2 linked regions of the Oryctolagus cuniculus genome follow. The protein of the gene in region 1 interacts with the protein of each later gene in a pairwise test. Links are inferred from orthologs where the notes say so. Each region holds a gene or a part of one and is shown on either strand. Other genes may lie near its edges. The genes, in order: PEX6 and PEX26.

Region 1 (6,753 bases):
GTCCTCACATCCTCCCTCTGAAGCCATCACTGCCCAACACACCCCGTGGCCACCCCAAGGCCCAGGCCCTCGGGGAGTGTCTCTGGAACAGGGCATACTTGCGTGTGATGGCGCTCAGAACACGCAGCTGGGAGGCCCGGTCCTCACTTGCACCCACAAACACCAGCTTGTCAAATCTTAGGGAGATGGGGGTGTCTGTGAGAGGAAGCCCAGCCAGGAAGGGGGGGAGGAGACGCAGAGCAGGGGTGAGGGATGAGCCCAGATGGGCCTGGTGGGGGGTGAGCAGGCTGGGGTGCCCACCTGCCAGGTCGCAGAAGGGCAGGGTCCAGGAGGTCTGGTCTGTTGGTGGCTCCAATCACAAACACATCCTGAGTGCTGTGAAGCCCGTCCAGCTCGGCCAGGAGCTGTGACACCACCCTGGAGGGGGGGAAGCGGAGCTGGGAGGGCCCTGGGGACCTGCCCCGCCTGTGCTGCCTCTCCCTGCAGGCTGCTCCTCACCGGGGCCTTGCAACCAGCTCTGCCTGTGCCCTCCACACAGGTCCCTGGGCTCCCTGGCACCACTGAACTGGAAGGGCAGGAAATTCTCTCTTTGGCTCCCACCCAGGACCCCAGACTCCACTCTCACTCAGACCCCCACCTGTCCATCACTCCTCCAGAGTCTCCACTTCGCCCCCGGCTTGGGGCCAGGGAGTCCAGCTCATCAAAGAAGATAATGCATGGCGCCGCAGCCCTGGCCCTGGCGAACACTGAGGGGAGAGAGGGGCAGGCAGCGAGGGGGGCTCGGGGGTCTGAGGCTGGGAGAAGACAGGGAGGCCGCACTCCAGGCAGGGACTGCCTCGTGCAAGGGAGGACGAGGCGTGACCACCAGCAGCCTGGGGGAGGGGCTGAAGCCCAGGGCCTCCCCTCTCACCTTCCCGCACGTTCTCCTCACTCTGGCCCACGTACATGTTGATGAGCTCTGGCCCCTTCACACTGAGGGAGGTCATGGGAGGGAGAGACCCATCAGATGCGTGTGCACACACACAGTCACCCCCCTCTCGGGCTGCCCCCCATCCCTCGCCCACCTGAGGAAGGTGAGGCTGCACTCCGTGGCTACCGCCTTGGCCAGGAGGGTCTTGCCTGTCCCAGGGGGCCCGTGGAGCAGAAGGCCTGAGCGCCTCAGGCCCAGGCTCAGCAGCTCAGGGTGCTCCAGGGGGAGCTGAATGGTCTCCAGGATCTCCCTCTTCACCTCCTGCAGCCCGCCTACGTCATGCCAGGACACCGAGGGGATCTGGAAGATGGGGGGTGGGCGTCTGGCATATGCTGGTGGAGGCAGCTCCTGCCCAGCCTCCACTGGCCAGAGTCTGCACCTTGGGGGCTCCCACGGCCCGGGAGTGAGCCGTCTGCAGCTGCTCCAGCGCCTGCCCGAAGTCCTCAGCCAGAAGGGGAAAGCCGGCCGCACACAGCTCCCCCTCATCCTCCTCGCTCCAGCCGCCCGGCAAACTGCGGGAGGAGCAGAGTCCCCAGGAGGACCTGGCACAAGGCCTCCTTCCCGGCCCCTCCCCATCTCCTCTTGCCACCTGTCCCCTCCTGTGCTGAACTCCCCTTACCCTGAGTTCCTGATCCTGGTGCAGGCTGCCCGGCTGCTGTGGGCCACAAGGGCACAGAGATCCCCGGCCACGAAGCCCTAGCAAAGCGCAGGGGGACACATGAACAGGGCGTGGCAGGCGGGAACCATGGGGGACTGGTGCCCGGCAGAGCGGACTTGGGGGTTCCTCCCCTCACTGGCAGGCAGCAGCCAGCACTGAGCTCCTGTGGCCTCCCGGGGAGGCGCAGTGCCCTGCCTTCATACTCACTGCACACCGCCGTGCCAGCTGTGCCAGGTTCACCTCTTGGCCCAGGGGGAGGTGGGCAGTGAGGGCCCGCAGGATGCTGAGCCGCTGCCCCTCTGACAGCACGGGCACCTCCAGCTCGTGTGGAAATGCTGTCTGTATGTCAGCAGGCAGGTCCTGGGCCCGGCTTGTGGTGGCCACAACCATGAGGGGAGGGCGGCTGCAGGAGGAGGGGTGGGCACTGAGGGCGGGAACGTGGCTGGAGCTCCTAGGCCCTGCCCTGTGCTGAGGTGGCTGCAGGGCAGGGACAGTGGTGGGGCCGGGATGGGGCAGAGATCAGCCCCACCCTAAAGTTCCCGGCTGGGCCAAGGGAATACCTCGGGGGATGGGAGCTGTTCTTCCCAGGAGGTCCCGGGACCACATCCTCCTCCCTCCAGACACCCCAGGACCCTCAGCTCAGGGCTGCCAGTGGCAACCCAGGGAGCAGCGGATGGCTGAGAAGCCACAGGGGCTGTGAGGAAGCACTGAATGGCTCCAGGGGGAGCCCAGGCCTCGCGGGACGCCAGGCCCAGCCCTTCATGAATACCTGCTGAGGGGGTCCTCATTGAGGAGGAGGTGATGCAGCACGGCCACCACCCGGGCATCCTCGCCCAGCCCATCACGGTCGCGGCCTAGCAGGTCCAGGGCCGTCAGCAGCAGGACCACAGGCCGGCAGCGGCGGGCCCGGGAGAAGGTGGCCTGCAGTTTTGTCTCCACAGCCCCACTGCTGTCTGCACAAAGGCTGGAGCAGGGCACCTGGTACAGAGGCAGGCAGAGTGGGGAGGAGCAGTCAGAAGCAGGCATGGGCCCCCTTGCTCCTGAGGGCAGGGCTGGGTACAGGGGGCACACTGGCCAGCTCCCACCTCTTAGCCACCCTACCCCAGGCCCTGGACTGTCCACCCTCCTCCTTCTAGAAAGCACCCACAGTGGCCGAGCATCATGGGAATACGCTGACCTGCGGCCCACTGGACCGAGGTACTGGGGAGGAAGAGGGAGAATCTGGGGAGGCCAAGGGGGCTCTGCTGTCCAGAGAGCCTCACCTTCAGTAAGTGGAGCCCAAGGCGACCACAGGCCGCCGTGACCGCTGTGGTCTTCCCACTGCCTGGGGGGCCCCGCAGGAGGACACAGCTAGTTCCTGTCAGCAAGGCCCCTCTGAAACCAGAGAACAGTCACTTGTACCCTCAATTCTGCCCATATTTAAAGTCCCCACTCACACAGGAACCGTGGGATCTCAAAAGCAGACCCGGGTTTCTCTCTCCTGGGCCTCCCTGCCCACAACCCAGTGTTGTCTCCACAGTGAGGCTGCACCTCCCGCACTTCCCACACCGCCTGTGGTATCTGGTGGGGCCTGGAACACATCCCACATTTCCACCATCACTGTGTCCGCGGCAAGGCCTGCACTGTCACATCCGGTCTGCACTGTATGGAGAGGCACAAGGGTGGGCACTGGCTCTGCACTTGGGCAGCTATGCCCTTCAGGGCCAGTGGGCTCTGCATGGGAAGGGGAGCCCCAGAGAAGCAGCCTCTGGGGCTGGTTCTTCGTCCACAGCCGACTTCGGAGGATGGAGGTTATCTCAGGAGAGAGCCTAGGAACTCGCTTATGGAGGATGGGACCAGGCACACAGGCCTGGGGAAGGTCCTCCCACTCCCACTCCAGCCACAGCAGTAGGAACCGGGCAGCCTGGCAGGTTCTAAAGCAGGCTCTCCTCACCCCAGGACAGCAGCCTCACTCACCCCAGCTGGAGGCGAGGCTTCAGGGCAGCACAGATCTCAGCCACCAAGCCCTCCAGGCCCGGAGGAGACAAGGAACTCCACGGAGCGCCTGCTGAAGGGAGACTGGGAACGCAGCTCAGGGTGGAACCCACCTGGGAAAGGCAGGAAGCAGCTTGTGTTCCTAAATCTTGCTTCCAGCCCCCACCTCCCTCCCTGCCAGGTCTACGCACGACCCTGGGGCCTCACCATGTACAAGGAAGTGTGGGTGGTGTCAGCCAAGTAGGTGCTGGCTGGCCCATCTGCAACCTCCCCGATCGTTCTCTTCACTTTAAAGAACAGCTCTCGCCACCTGCGGGAGAGAGGCCCGATGAACCCCAGACCGCAGGCTTGCAGGCTGCCCACCCCAGGACAAGGTGGCTTTGTGCATGACAAGGGGTGCAGGGAGATAGGAAAGATTTTTCCTTTCTCCCCCACACTGCACCCCACAAATGCGAAGGGCAGGAGCTATCCCTGTCCCTTTGCTCCCCAACGACAATCCTCAGAGGGCCTAGGGGCTGTGTTTCTGCAGGTACTCGGGCTGCCGCAGCCAGCAAGGGATTATCTCATCATTTCCGGTGGCTTCACAACACAGCCTCCACCTCAAATGAGGGGACTTCACAAAGTCCACGGCAAAGTGGAATTAAAAGCTAAGTTTATTTGCATGCAAACATTTTTGAGATCTGTGTACAGTTTCTCATTAACATAACAATTTTTTGAAGACCCCTGGCACATACCCACTCAGGCCCTCAAGCCTCAGAAGGAGGGAGACTCCCTGGCTCTCATTCAAGCCACAAAATCTAATGGCAGGCAGACTCCCTGATAACGATATCTACGAGTACTGAGTCTCTCTTTCCTGGCTGCATGTGGGAATGACCTGTGAAGCTTAAAAAAAAATTAAACATTTTTCACTCATTATATGCTCTCATTTAGGAGACTCAAGGTTGCCAGAGGCCGAGGGGCAGGGGAGGATATGGAGTGGCTGGCAGTGAGTTCCGGGCTTTTCCTAGGGTGACGAAAGTGGTCTGGAATTAGACAGCGGTGTTGGCTGCACGACCGTGTGAATGTAATTAAAACCACTGGGTTGAAAGTATGAGTTTTATGGTGTGTGAATTTATCTTGATTTAAAAATTAACAGTCCTCCCTCCTCTGAGGGAAGAAGAGGATTCTGGTCTGATGGGTCTGGACAAGGCTTTGCTTCTGTTTCAAAAGCTCCCCTCGCCATTCTGACAGGGCTGTGCAGACTCTGGCTAGCGTCCCAGTGAGGGCAGTTCAATCTCCTCAAGGGGATGGGCAGCAGGTAGCAGCTACTAACTTCATCTTTCAAATAAAGACAGGAGGCGAACTCCTCCCCTCTTCAACCTGCAGACAGCAAGGCAAAGACAGAGCCAATCACTCGGGCCCCTTGCTCACACAGCACCACAGCTACAAGGCTGCGCCCTCCGTCCTCCAGCAGTGGGTGGAGGCGGGGATGCCTCAGGGTGATCCGGGGAAGTGCAGCAAGTGAGCATTCAAAATGCCTGCGTTCCAGCTGGCAGTGACTGCGGTCAAAGCAAGCACAAGTGGAGCATATGGCCAGCGCCGGGAGCTCCGCACAGGAGTGTGAGGAGGGTCAGCACTGCTGTGTACAGCGAGAGACCACCTTCCCCCGCGGAGGGCTGCTGCAACGCCCTAGTGAGCAAAAGGGCCAGAGCTCGGGAACCTATCAGGACACTGCAGAGGACATGGGGTATGTTCCAGAGAGCCAGATGGACAGCCGTGGAGCTGGCTCCTGCATGGCCTGGTTCTAGGAAGTGGGGCACAGGAAACACACTGAAGAGGCTACACCAGTAACAAAGGAATTCCCTTCCAGGGAGCAGAGGACATTCCTAACCAAGCCTAGGGAAGCCCAAGGCACTCCTCTCTATCTGTCCTTGGGCCCACCTGCCCACGCACCCCAACCCTGCCTGCCTTGGGACTTGCCGGGGTGGGGGAGAGAACCACGTACGTGCTCAGCACCCAGAGGGAAGGCAGGTTTCTACAGGGTTGGGACGGCAGAGATCCAGGGACAGAACTGGCTTGCTGGTCTGTCTTGATTAGTCCTTGCGCCTGTTTTCCTTTGGGAAGCACAAAGGGTGGGTATGCTATAGCTTTCCTCACAGGTGTTTGCTAAATTTCAGATGGGAGACAAAGGAGGGAACTGCCTGGTAAGTGCCAGCGTGGCATTTTCTGTCAGACCCCAGCCGCAGCCTGGGACACCGCAGAGGTGTCATGAAGCCTAAATGGGGTTACACAGGGCACCACCAGGCTCTCCATATGGGCAGCACCACCCTGAGATTAGAGGCACTGAGCCCCGGCCAGAGCCAAGCTTTGGATGTGGACCAGGGAGAATCAGGTTCTCCAGATAAGGCGTCTCTCTTGGCAGAGGCCCCGGGCTGGCGAGGCCGGAGACCTGGGACAGGACAGCTCTTAAAGCTGGGTTAGTGCATCTCTCAGCTGTGATCTCCTTTTAGTTCTCTGCCGCAGGAAGTCGGTCCAGACTGGAGGCTGCCTGTGGTACATTTTCCTCCCTTCACATTTGGCCAAAGCAGTCCTCACATGGAACCTCTGCGCTCAGAGTCAACAGGAGGAGGAGAAAAGCTGGACCCCTGGTTTTGGGTTCTTGGCTCGGTTATGCTGTTTGTTACTCTCCATTGAGGACAGGAAACAGAGGCGTCCTCTCGAGGACAGCAGCAGACTGTCTCTCCTCTGTTTAAGGCTGAGAGACAGAAGTGAGGAGCAGAAAGGTACATACTCCATCAGCTATGGCAGCAACCAGTGCCTGTGTGGCCTTACGCTGAAGTCGTGGCCGAAGTAGCTCTGTGGCTGACAATGGACAGGAAGGAAGGAATCCTGTCTCGGTCTAGGCCATTCACCTACTCTTATTCCTTTACTCCCCCTGAGCCCACCAATCAGTCTGAAGATGAACACCTCCCAAAGCCGGCAGGTTCAGTGGTTCTTAACCTTTTCTCAGTCGTGCACCTGTTTGGGAATGTGAGGGAGGGGCGGACCTTCTCTCCACGCCTGTGCGTGACAGCCAGAGAACATCTCAGGCACACAACTCAGGCGAAGGGGATCAGAGAATTCCTGCACCAGGTTCCGAAGCCCAGCTGTGAAACAGGAGGCTGCTGCATAC
Region 2 (7,546 bases), on another chromosome or scaffold:
GAGAGACTTCTGAAATCATTTCTGAGAAACGGAGGTAATTTTCTCTTTTGCAAGTCCAGTACTTATTTTATTATTAATGATCTTCATCATCTGATGTCAAATCTAAGTAAAAGCTGATCAAAAGGTTGGCAACCTCAGCATTAGACTCGACGCTTTCCAGGAATCTCTGCCTTGCTCTGGAGTTTGCTTCAGACGAATGAATATTGCCTGGTGAGGTAGAGGGGCTCAGCGGGGAGCTCTTCACATGAAGAGTGAACCCCACTGACAGAGGCCAGGCCTGAGCACTAGGTCACAGCTTCTCTCTGCTCTGACCCAGCTCTGGGCTTGCTGTTAGAAAACAAAGTCAAATGCAGATGCTGTTGTTGGAATACATTCCCTGGTTGCTGTATTGCACATTCTTGCCCCTGTGTGAAATAAGAATTCAAAGTAGAAGCAAGGGTCAAGTTCAAGAATAACAGCTGAATTTATGTTAAAAGAGTGAGTGCATTGGAAACTCATAACTGGTGCATAGGGAGATTACTGATGCCATAAACAGGAGTGTCAATTGGTAAAGTCAACAACAGGAGTCACTGTGCACTTACTCCTCATGTAGGATCTCGGTCCTTAACGTGCTGTACACTGAGGCTTAATGCTATAACGAGTACTCAAACAGTATATTTCACTTTGTGTTTCTATGGGGGTGCAAACGACTGAAATCTTTACTTAATGTACACTAAACTGATCTTTTGTAAAAAAAAAAAAAAAAAAAAGAAAGAAATTTTCAATTCCCAACTTGACTCTCACTGGGATTAAACATGACAATAGGTCTGATCTGATTTCATCATCATTTTAAAAAAATCATCTATTATTTTTCACTTTATGTTTCTGTGTGGGAGCAAACTGTTGAAATACTTACTTAAGGTATACTAAGCTGATCTTCTGTATATTAAGATAATCGAAAATGAATCTTGATGTGAATGGAAGGGGAGAGGGAGTGGGAAAGGGGAGGGTTGTTGGTGGGAGGGACGGTATGGGGGGGGAAGCCATTGTAACCCATGAGTCGTACTTTGGAAATTTATATTCATTAAATAAAAGATAAAAAAAAAAAAAAAAAAAAAAAAAAAGAGTGAGTGCATGTTCAGATGCCGGCGACCCCATGAGGAGAGACATCAACCATAAGAATCTGCCTTTGTGAGCAAAAGGTAGAAAGAGCCATGTGCCTGTGAGGAGAGAGAGCCCCCAATGGAGCAGATGCTTTCTTTGTATAGGGAGTGGTGCCCTAATTGCATGTACAAATGGAGTGGGACTCAGTACATGTGATATTCTCTGGGAAGGATTTCATGTTGGAACTCAATGTACAGTTGCTCATCATCTCTTCTTCATGTGGATAGGTGTGTCATGAGAAAGTGGCTGTATTGAATTACCATGCAAGGAGGGGGGGGTGGAGTTAGGGTGCAGGGCTAGAGACATAAAGTGTGGAAAACCTCCCAGCTCTGTGGCTCCTTACCTGATCCCATGCCTATCTCCTATCAATATCAACTCTACCTTTCCACTATTTCAAGTCCCAATCCTTTTTCTCTGTTTTATTTCAACTTAGCATTTATCATTATATGACACAGTATTCTGCAAGTTTTGCTTATTTTCTATGTTGACTTATTTTTTTTTTTTTGCCTCTTTTGTTCTTTATGCCATCTGCAGTGCTTAGAACAGTGCCTGACATCTCACAGGCATTCAAAAATTACCTCTGCAATGACAAGTCCTCTGCTCATCACCTTGTTTGGCTATAGGGTACATACCTTTCTTTCCTTGGAGTTTGATGAGCTTGATGTTTTCGCTTTCGCTTTCCTTGAGGACTTTGAGCAGAAAGCTGAAAGCCCCGAAAATGGATGTGTTCATGCCTCTGAGCAGGCACTCACCTTGTGCCCGGCCTATCTGATCTAATCAGAGAGCAAGTAAACGTGAAGACTCACTGGGGAGAGTTCAAAAGCAGACAACCAGAGAGAAACTAAAGCCAAGCGGTCCTGGTAAGAAACATAGGCTTGTCAAACCCTGGACTAAATATAGAGCACAACGTGTAATTTATGTATCTGTGAAACATTGCATAATATCTTTTACAGCTACAATTTATCAAATGCCCTCTGTGGTCCCAGTATTTTATTGTAAATCTCATCACACACTGCGTGGCTTTTTGTTAACAATATCCTTATTTTATATGAGAAAACAAAGGTTCAAGGAGTTAAACTTACAACTGCTTGTACCATGATTGTGCGTCCTCTCTGAATAGAAAGTATTGACCTTGTTCTGTCCCTGCAGAAATAGTGACTTAAAACACATACCTGTGTTTTTGGTTACTTTCTACGGCAACTAGATAAGCCTCAATTGCCTCATCTGTAAAATGAGGTAACAATTGTCCTTTTTTTTTTTTTTTTCTTTTCTTTTTGGACAGGCAGAGTGGACAGAGAGAGAGAGAGAGACAGAGAGAAAAGTCTTCCTTTCCCATTGGTTCACCCTCCAATGGCCGCCGCGGCCCGCGCGCTGCGGCTGGCGCACCGCGCTGATCCGATGGCAGGAGCCAGGAGCCAGGTGCTTCTCCTGGTCTCCCATGGGGTGCAGGGCCCAAGCACCTGGGCCATCCTCCACTGCACTCCCGGGCCACAGCAGAGAGCTGGCCTGGAAGAGGAGCAACCGGGACAGAATCCGGCGCCCGGACCGGGACTAGAACCCAGTGTGCCCGCGCTGCAAGGCGAAGGATTAGCCTATTGAGCTGCGGCGCCGGCAACAGTTGTTCTTAATTCACAGCTGTCCTTAATTCACAGACTCAAGAATTAAATGGCACGCAACGTGCTTAGCACAGCGTCACAACCTTCAAGAACTAAGTGTGAATTGTGCTGGAGACAGTCCGGAAAAGCAGACAGCTGCAACCTTGAGTTTTCGTGCCTTTCCTGGTCTCCCCTCCCGACGTCCTGCCTGCCATCCCGACACAAGCTCAGAATTAGAAGCTCCACCTCAATCAGTGGACTTCTTTCTGTCCAGCTTGTTCTTGCACTCGGTTACCGAGCGGCCTTCTTCATTCCCCAATATAATTCCGGTTTTGTTAACTGCTCGTCTACCCCTCTTTCCCGTTCCCAGAGCCGGCAAGCAGGTAGGTTTTCTCCTAGGACCGTGACCGTATCCGCGGCGTGGCATTCTGGGAGCTGTAGTCCAAATCCTCCCATCTGCTTCTAGAGAGCGACTGAGCCGAGAGGCGGGAACTACGAATCCCAGCGTCCTCCGCGCATCCGGTGCCGCACTGCTACCGCGGGCTGCGAGAGCCGGAAGATGGCCGCGCCCTGTGCTCGGTACCCGCAGTGAGGCAGTCTTTTGGTACAAAGAAGCGCGGAATGTCACTCTTCGGAGCTCAGGTGCTCGGGCACATGTCGTGAGGCCGGAGCAGCTAGGGCCAGGTATTCCGAGGACGCAGTAATTCTGTAAACCTGAGGTGAAAACCGAGGTGCCAGGTGCTTTTGAGCCCAGCCTTTGCCTCACAAATGGCCCCTTCCTTTTCGTTCTGCAGGAATTGACCCAGGGGAGGGTGGTGGGTCAGGATATGAGGACTCCCCTTTTCTCTCAGGCCGCCTCGGGACATCCTGGAGCCTTTGGAAAGGTGGGTTACTCTGGCGTCTGAAGAGACAGCCCCCGAGCCCAGGCAGGCTATGAAGAGCGACTCTTCGGCCTCTGCAGCCCCCCTCAAAGGACTCGGGGGGCTCCTGCGGAGCAGCGAGCCCGTGCGCTCCGGCCCGGCCTGTTCTCTCGCCGTGGATCTGCTGGAGGAGGCAGCAGACTTCCTAGTGGTGCACCTGGACTTCCGGGCGGCGCTGGCGACCTGCGAACGCGCGTGGCTGAGCCTGGCCAGCGAAGGTCTGGCTGAGGAGCCCGCCGGCACGTACGTGCTATGTTCCGTCCGTTTCCGGGCCGTTTTGTGGAGGGACTCAATAGGTCGCGGCATAGCTTTCCTTTCCAGATTGCTCACGAGGAGCCTCATAGCTCGCTTTCGTGAGTGGCTGCTTTCAGAGCACCTGGGTATTTATATTGTGTCCATTCTATAGAGGAGGAAACTGAGGCACTGCACAATGAAGAAGCGATCAGGCGTGTTACAGTTTAGTGGGAACCCACGGCCAGTTCTTGGCGCCTCCTTGCAGTGTAGACTGGCGTGATAGAAAGGTTGAATGAGTGTTAACGTCTGTCAGTGAACAGGTTGCAGAGCCTCCCAGCTGCCCCTTTCGCTAGGCTCTGAGGTTGTTCGCTCTTGACCTTGGCTGATGAAGGGGAATGGGGGTCAGGGAAGGAGTAGGGTTATGGTCCTGTTGAATGATTGGATTAAATAATGAATCTGGAGAAAGCCTTGGTACTGCATTGCTCCTCCTAATACCTCCATCCTTCCTTGGCAGTTCAGGGCGCCATTTCTCATGGGTTTTAATGGTGCATTAGGCCATACCAGGGAGGTGATGGGTAGAATAGTAAAAGCTGACCCCAAAGAATGAACTAGAGGCCTGGCTGTGTTTTTAGGTGGCGATTGGGTGCTTATGCAGTAAATGCAAAAGGCTTTGCTTCGGGGTGTCTGGAGGCAATACTAAAAGGCCAATTTTAGAGTTCCTGTACCTACACTTAGCCAGAAATCTTGTTCGAAACTCTTATTCACTAAACATTTGGCTCCACCTTTTTCTTTAAAATTTTTTTTAAAATTGTAATATAGTATACATACCAAGAAATGCACATAAGTGTACAGATGAGATTTTGTCTTCTGAGCATACTCATATCCAACATTTAAACAAAAAACAAAGTATTACTAATACCCTGAGAGTCCTCACTATCCCCCCCAACATTTCTCCTTTTTTAAATGTGGAAAGCAGGAGTATATTGTTATTTACTTGTGCTCCACCTCCTTACATCCACACACCTGTGCTCAAGTTCTCCCCCCACCTCCCAGCCCCTCTTATCCTTCCCATTCATTTATTCCTGATTTTACCTGGATACCAGGATATGTATTTGCCGACAGCTGATTTACCCCAAAGTTTACAGGAACTTTAAGCTCCCAGGCGAAAGGGCAGCCCATGAGACTGAATGTGGGGCCCAGTAGAATACTGATGGGGAAGATAGAGGTTGATAACTGCTGAGGTAGGAAGTAGAGAAGAGCAGTCCCAGGGTGGAGGCGGGCATGGAAATGGAGTGGAATCCCTTCTAAACCAAATGGGTCTTTCTGCTGACAGCTCCTTGGAGGTGAAATGCTCCCTGTGTGTTGTGGGGATCCAGGCGCTGGCAGAAATGGACCGGTGGCAGGAAGTCCTCTCCTGGGTCCTTCAGTACTACAAGGTCCCTGAAAAGCTACCTCCCAAAGTCCTGGAGCTGTGGTATGTTCTTCTTGCTTGTATAGTCTCAGTCCTGAAGATTTCATGTCCTCTCCTGAATTAGGCTCTAGTATCTCCTTTTTCCCCTTCCCTACCACTTTCTTACAAATCTAATCATTTCTCCTCTTCCCCCCACCCCCTTTTTTCAGACCCCAAAAGGGATGAGGGAGGAGGAGTTTAGGAGTAGGGTAGAGAACAGGGGACACAGGATGGGAGAGAAGTGGGAGGAAAGAAATGGACAAAGCTGAGAACCTGCCTGCTACTTTCTAGGAATTCCTGCTAATTTTTTAAAATTATTTTATTTATTTGAAAGGCAGACCGAGAAAGAGAGTTACGCAGAGATATCTCCAATCTGCACTTCCCAAATGCTCACAGGAGCTTGAATTGGGCATGGCCAAAGCTAGAAGCTGGGAATTCAATCTAGCTTTCCCACGAGGATGGCAAGGATTCAAGTATTTGAGCCCTTACCTTCCACCTTCCAGGGTGTGCATTAGTTGGAATCAGGAGCAGAGGTGGGATTTGAACCCAGGTTCTCTGATAGAGGATACAAGTATCCCAAAGTGGTGTCTTAACCACTGTGCAGAACATACCTGCCCGCCCAATTCTAGTAGTGCCGGCATTCTGTAGGAAAGGGCTGGAGGACATGGAGAGATTGGGTAGGATCAGCATAATAGTTACGAGAAATGAAGCAACTGTGGAGAACTGACTTTTCTTTGTTGGGGGTGGATTGGATTATTTGGGGTTGCAGCATTCTGTTATACAGCAAGATGAAAGAGCCTGGAGCCATGCTGGATGTGGTCAGTGCCTGGCTCCAAGACCCTGGTAATCAGGACCTTCCAGAATATGGAGCCTTGGCAGAACTTCACCTGCAGCGGGTGCTGCTGCCTCTGGGCCACTTGTTGGAGGCTGAGGAGCTAGTGACTGGTTCTATAGCCTTTGATGAGGAGCAGCGGCTGGGTGGACTCCACGCCATTCATTCAGCGAGGCTGCGGCAGACACAGGAACACTCAGGCTCTCAGCAGACCCAGGAGCTAAACCAGGAAGGTAGGACATTATTCCTGTGTGTTGTCTTTAAAGTGGAGTTGTGGGCTCTGTCTGCGCCTGTGTCCAACATGGCTCTCCTGGGAGCTCGGGAGCAATTCTTTGTATGAATAATTTCTGAATCACAGGAAAAGACCTTACAGACCCTCTGAAGTTGGCAATGGAAGGAGTATCTTCATATGGGGAGATATTGCTGGGTCTTTTTTTTTTTTTTTAATATTTATTTATTTCTTTGAAAGGCAGAGTTACAGAGAGGCATAGAGAGAGAGATAGAGAAAGGTCTTCCATTGTTTCACTCCCCAGTTGGCAGCAATGGCTGGAGCTGTGTCGATCAGAGCCAGGAGCCCAGGAGCTTCCTCTGGTTTCCCCATGAGGGTGCAGGGGCCCAAGGGCTTGGGTCATCCTCTACTGCTTTCTCAGGCCATAGCAGAGAGCTGGATCAGAAATGGAGCAGCCAGACTTGAATCAAACTGGTGCCCATATGGGATGCAAGCACTGCAGACTGGGGCTTTAATCCGCTGCACGACAGTGCTGCGCCCTGGGTCTTATTTTTCAGAAGTCACATTCTCATTGGGGTTTGATCAGTTACCTTTCTAGAGTCCTCTCTTTAGACTTTACTAGCTTTCTTGCTTCCATGATGCTGGCCTCTTCCTTTAAATGCTGGCCCAAATGCACATAGGGGTGACACGCTTGGGAGTAGCCAAAGGAAAGATAAGAAACATAAAATAATTTGGTTTCTTGACATAGGAGATAAGAATTAATTTATCTTTAACTTTGGGTCCTCCTGCCCAATATCCTGCCTGCCTTCACATACAAGAGCTTTTGAGGGGTTTCTCGTGGTTGATGTCCAACCCTTAACATTCAAGTTTTACACAATGGCTTTTGTAGGGAAACCACTACGTAGACCTGATACTAACTGCCTAGCTAGTATTATATAAGGCGTCCTTAAACTAGTAGAAGTGAGGATTCTTTTGTTACCAGGGTTAGGGACTTTAAAGATCCTCCACCTAGACGGCCCAAGTACTTGGGCCCTGCACCCCATGGGAGACCAGGATAAGTACCTGACTCCTGCCATCGGATCGGTATGGTGCGCCGGCTGCAGCATGCTGGCCGCGGCGGCCATTGGAGGGTGAACCAACGGC

The links.
Region 2: the proteins of PEX6 (region 1) and PEX26 come close enough for resonance energy transfer, tested with the Homo sapiens proteins (2 studies listed by BioGRID). The link is inferred for Oryctolagus cuniculus from reciprocal best matches to the Homo sapiens genes PEX6 and PEX26.

Annotation. Positions count from the first base shown.
Region 1 is NC_091436.1:127,039,570-127,046,322, reverse strand, and holds part of PEX6 (peroxisome biogenesis factor 6), read right to left. Parts: intron 3,913-6,753; coding exon 3,810-3,912; intron 3,716-3,809; coding exon 3,585-3,715; intron 3,003-3,584; coding exon 2,891-3,002; intron 2,607-2,890; coding exon 2,398-2,606; intron 2,032-2,397; coding exon 1,836-2,031; intron 1,667-1,835; coding exon 1,590-1,666; intron 1,513-1,589; coding exon 1,350-1,512; intron 1,271-1,349; coding exon 1,065-1,270; intron 973-1,064; coding exon 911-972; intron 747-910; coding exon 638-746; intron 418-637; coding exon 301-417; intron 177-300; coding exon 99-176; intron 1-98. UniProt on the Homo sapiens protein: Component of the PEX1-PEX6 AAA ATPase complex, a protein dislocase complex that mediates the ATP-dependent extraction of the PEX5 receptor from peroxisomal membranes, an essential step for PEX5 recycling.
Region 2 is NC_091440.1:88,962,851-88,970,396, reverse strand, and holds the start of PEX26 (peroxisome assembly protein 26), read left to right. Parts: upstream 1-3,251; 5' UTR 3,252-3,422; exon of another isoform or gene 3,423-3,589; 5' UTR 3,590-3,671; coding exon 3,672-3,901; intron 3,902-5,225; coding exon 5,226-5,366; intron 5,367-6,111; coding exon 6,112-6,407; intron 6,408-7,546. UniProt on the Homo sapiens protein: Peroxisomal docking factor that anchors PEX1 and PEX6 to peroxisome membranes. PEX26 is therefore required for the formation of the PEX1-PEX6 AAA ATPase complex, a complex that mediates the extraction of the PEX5 receptor from peroxisomal membrane.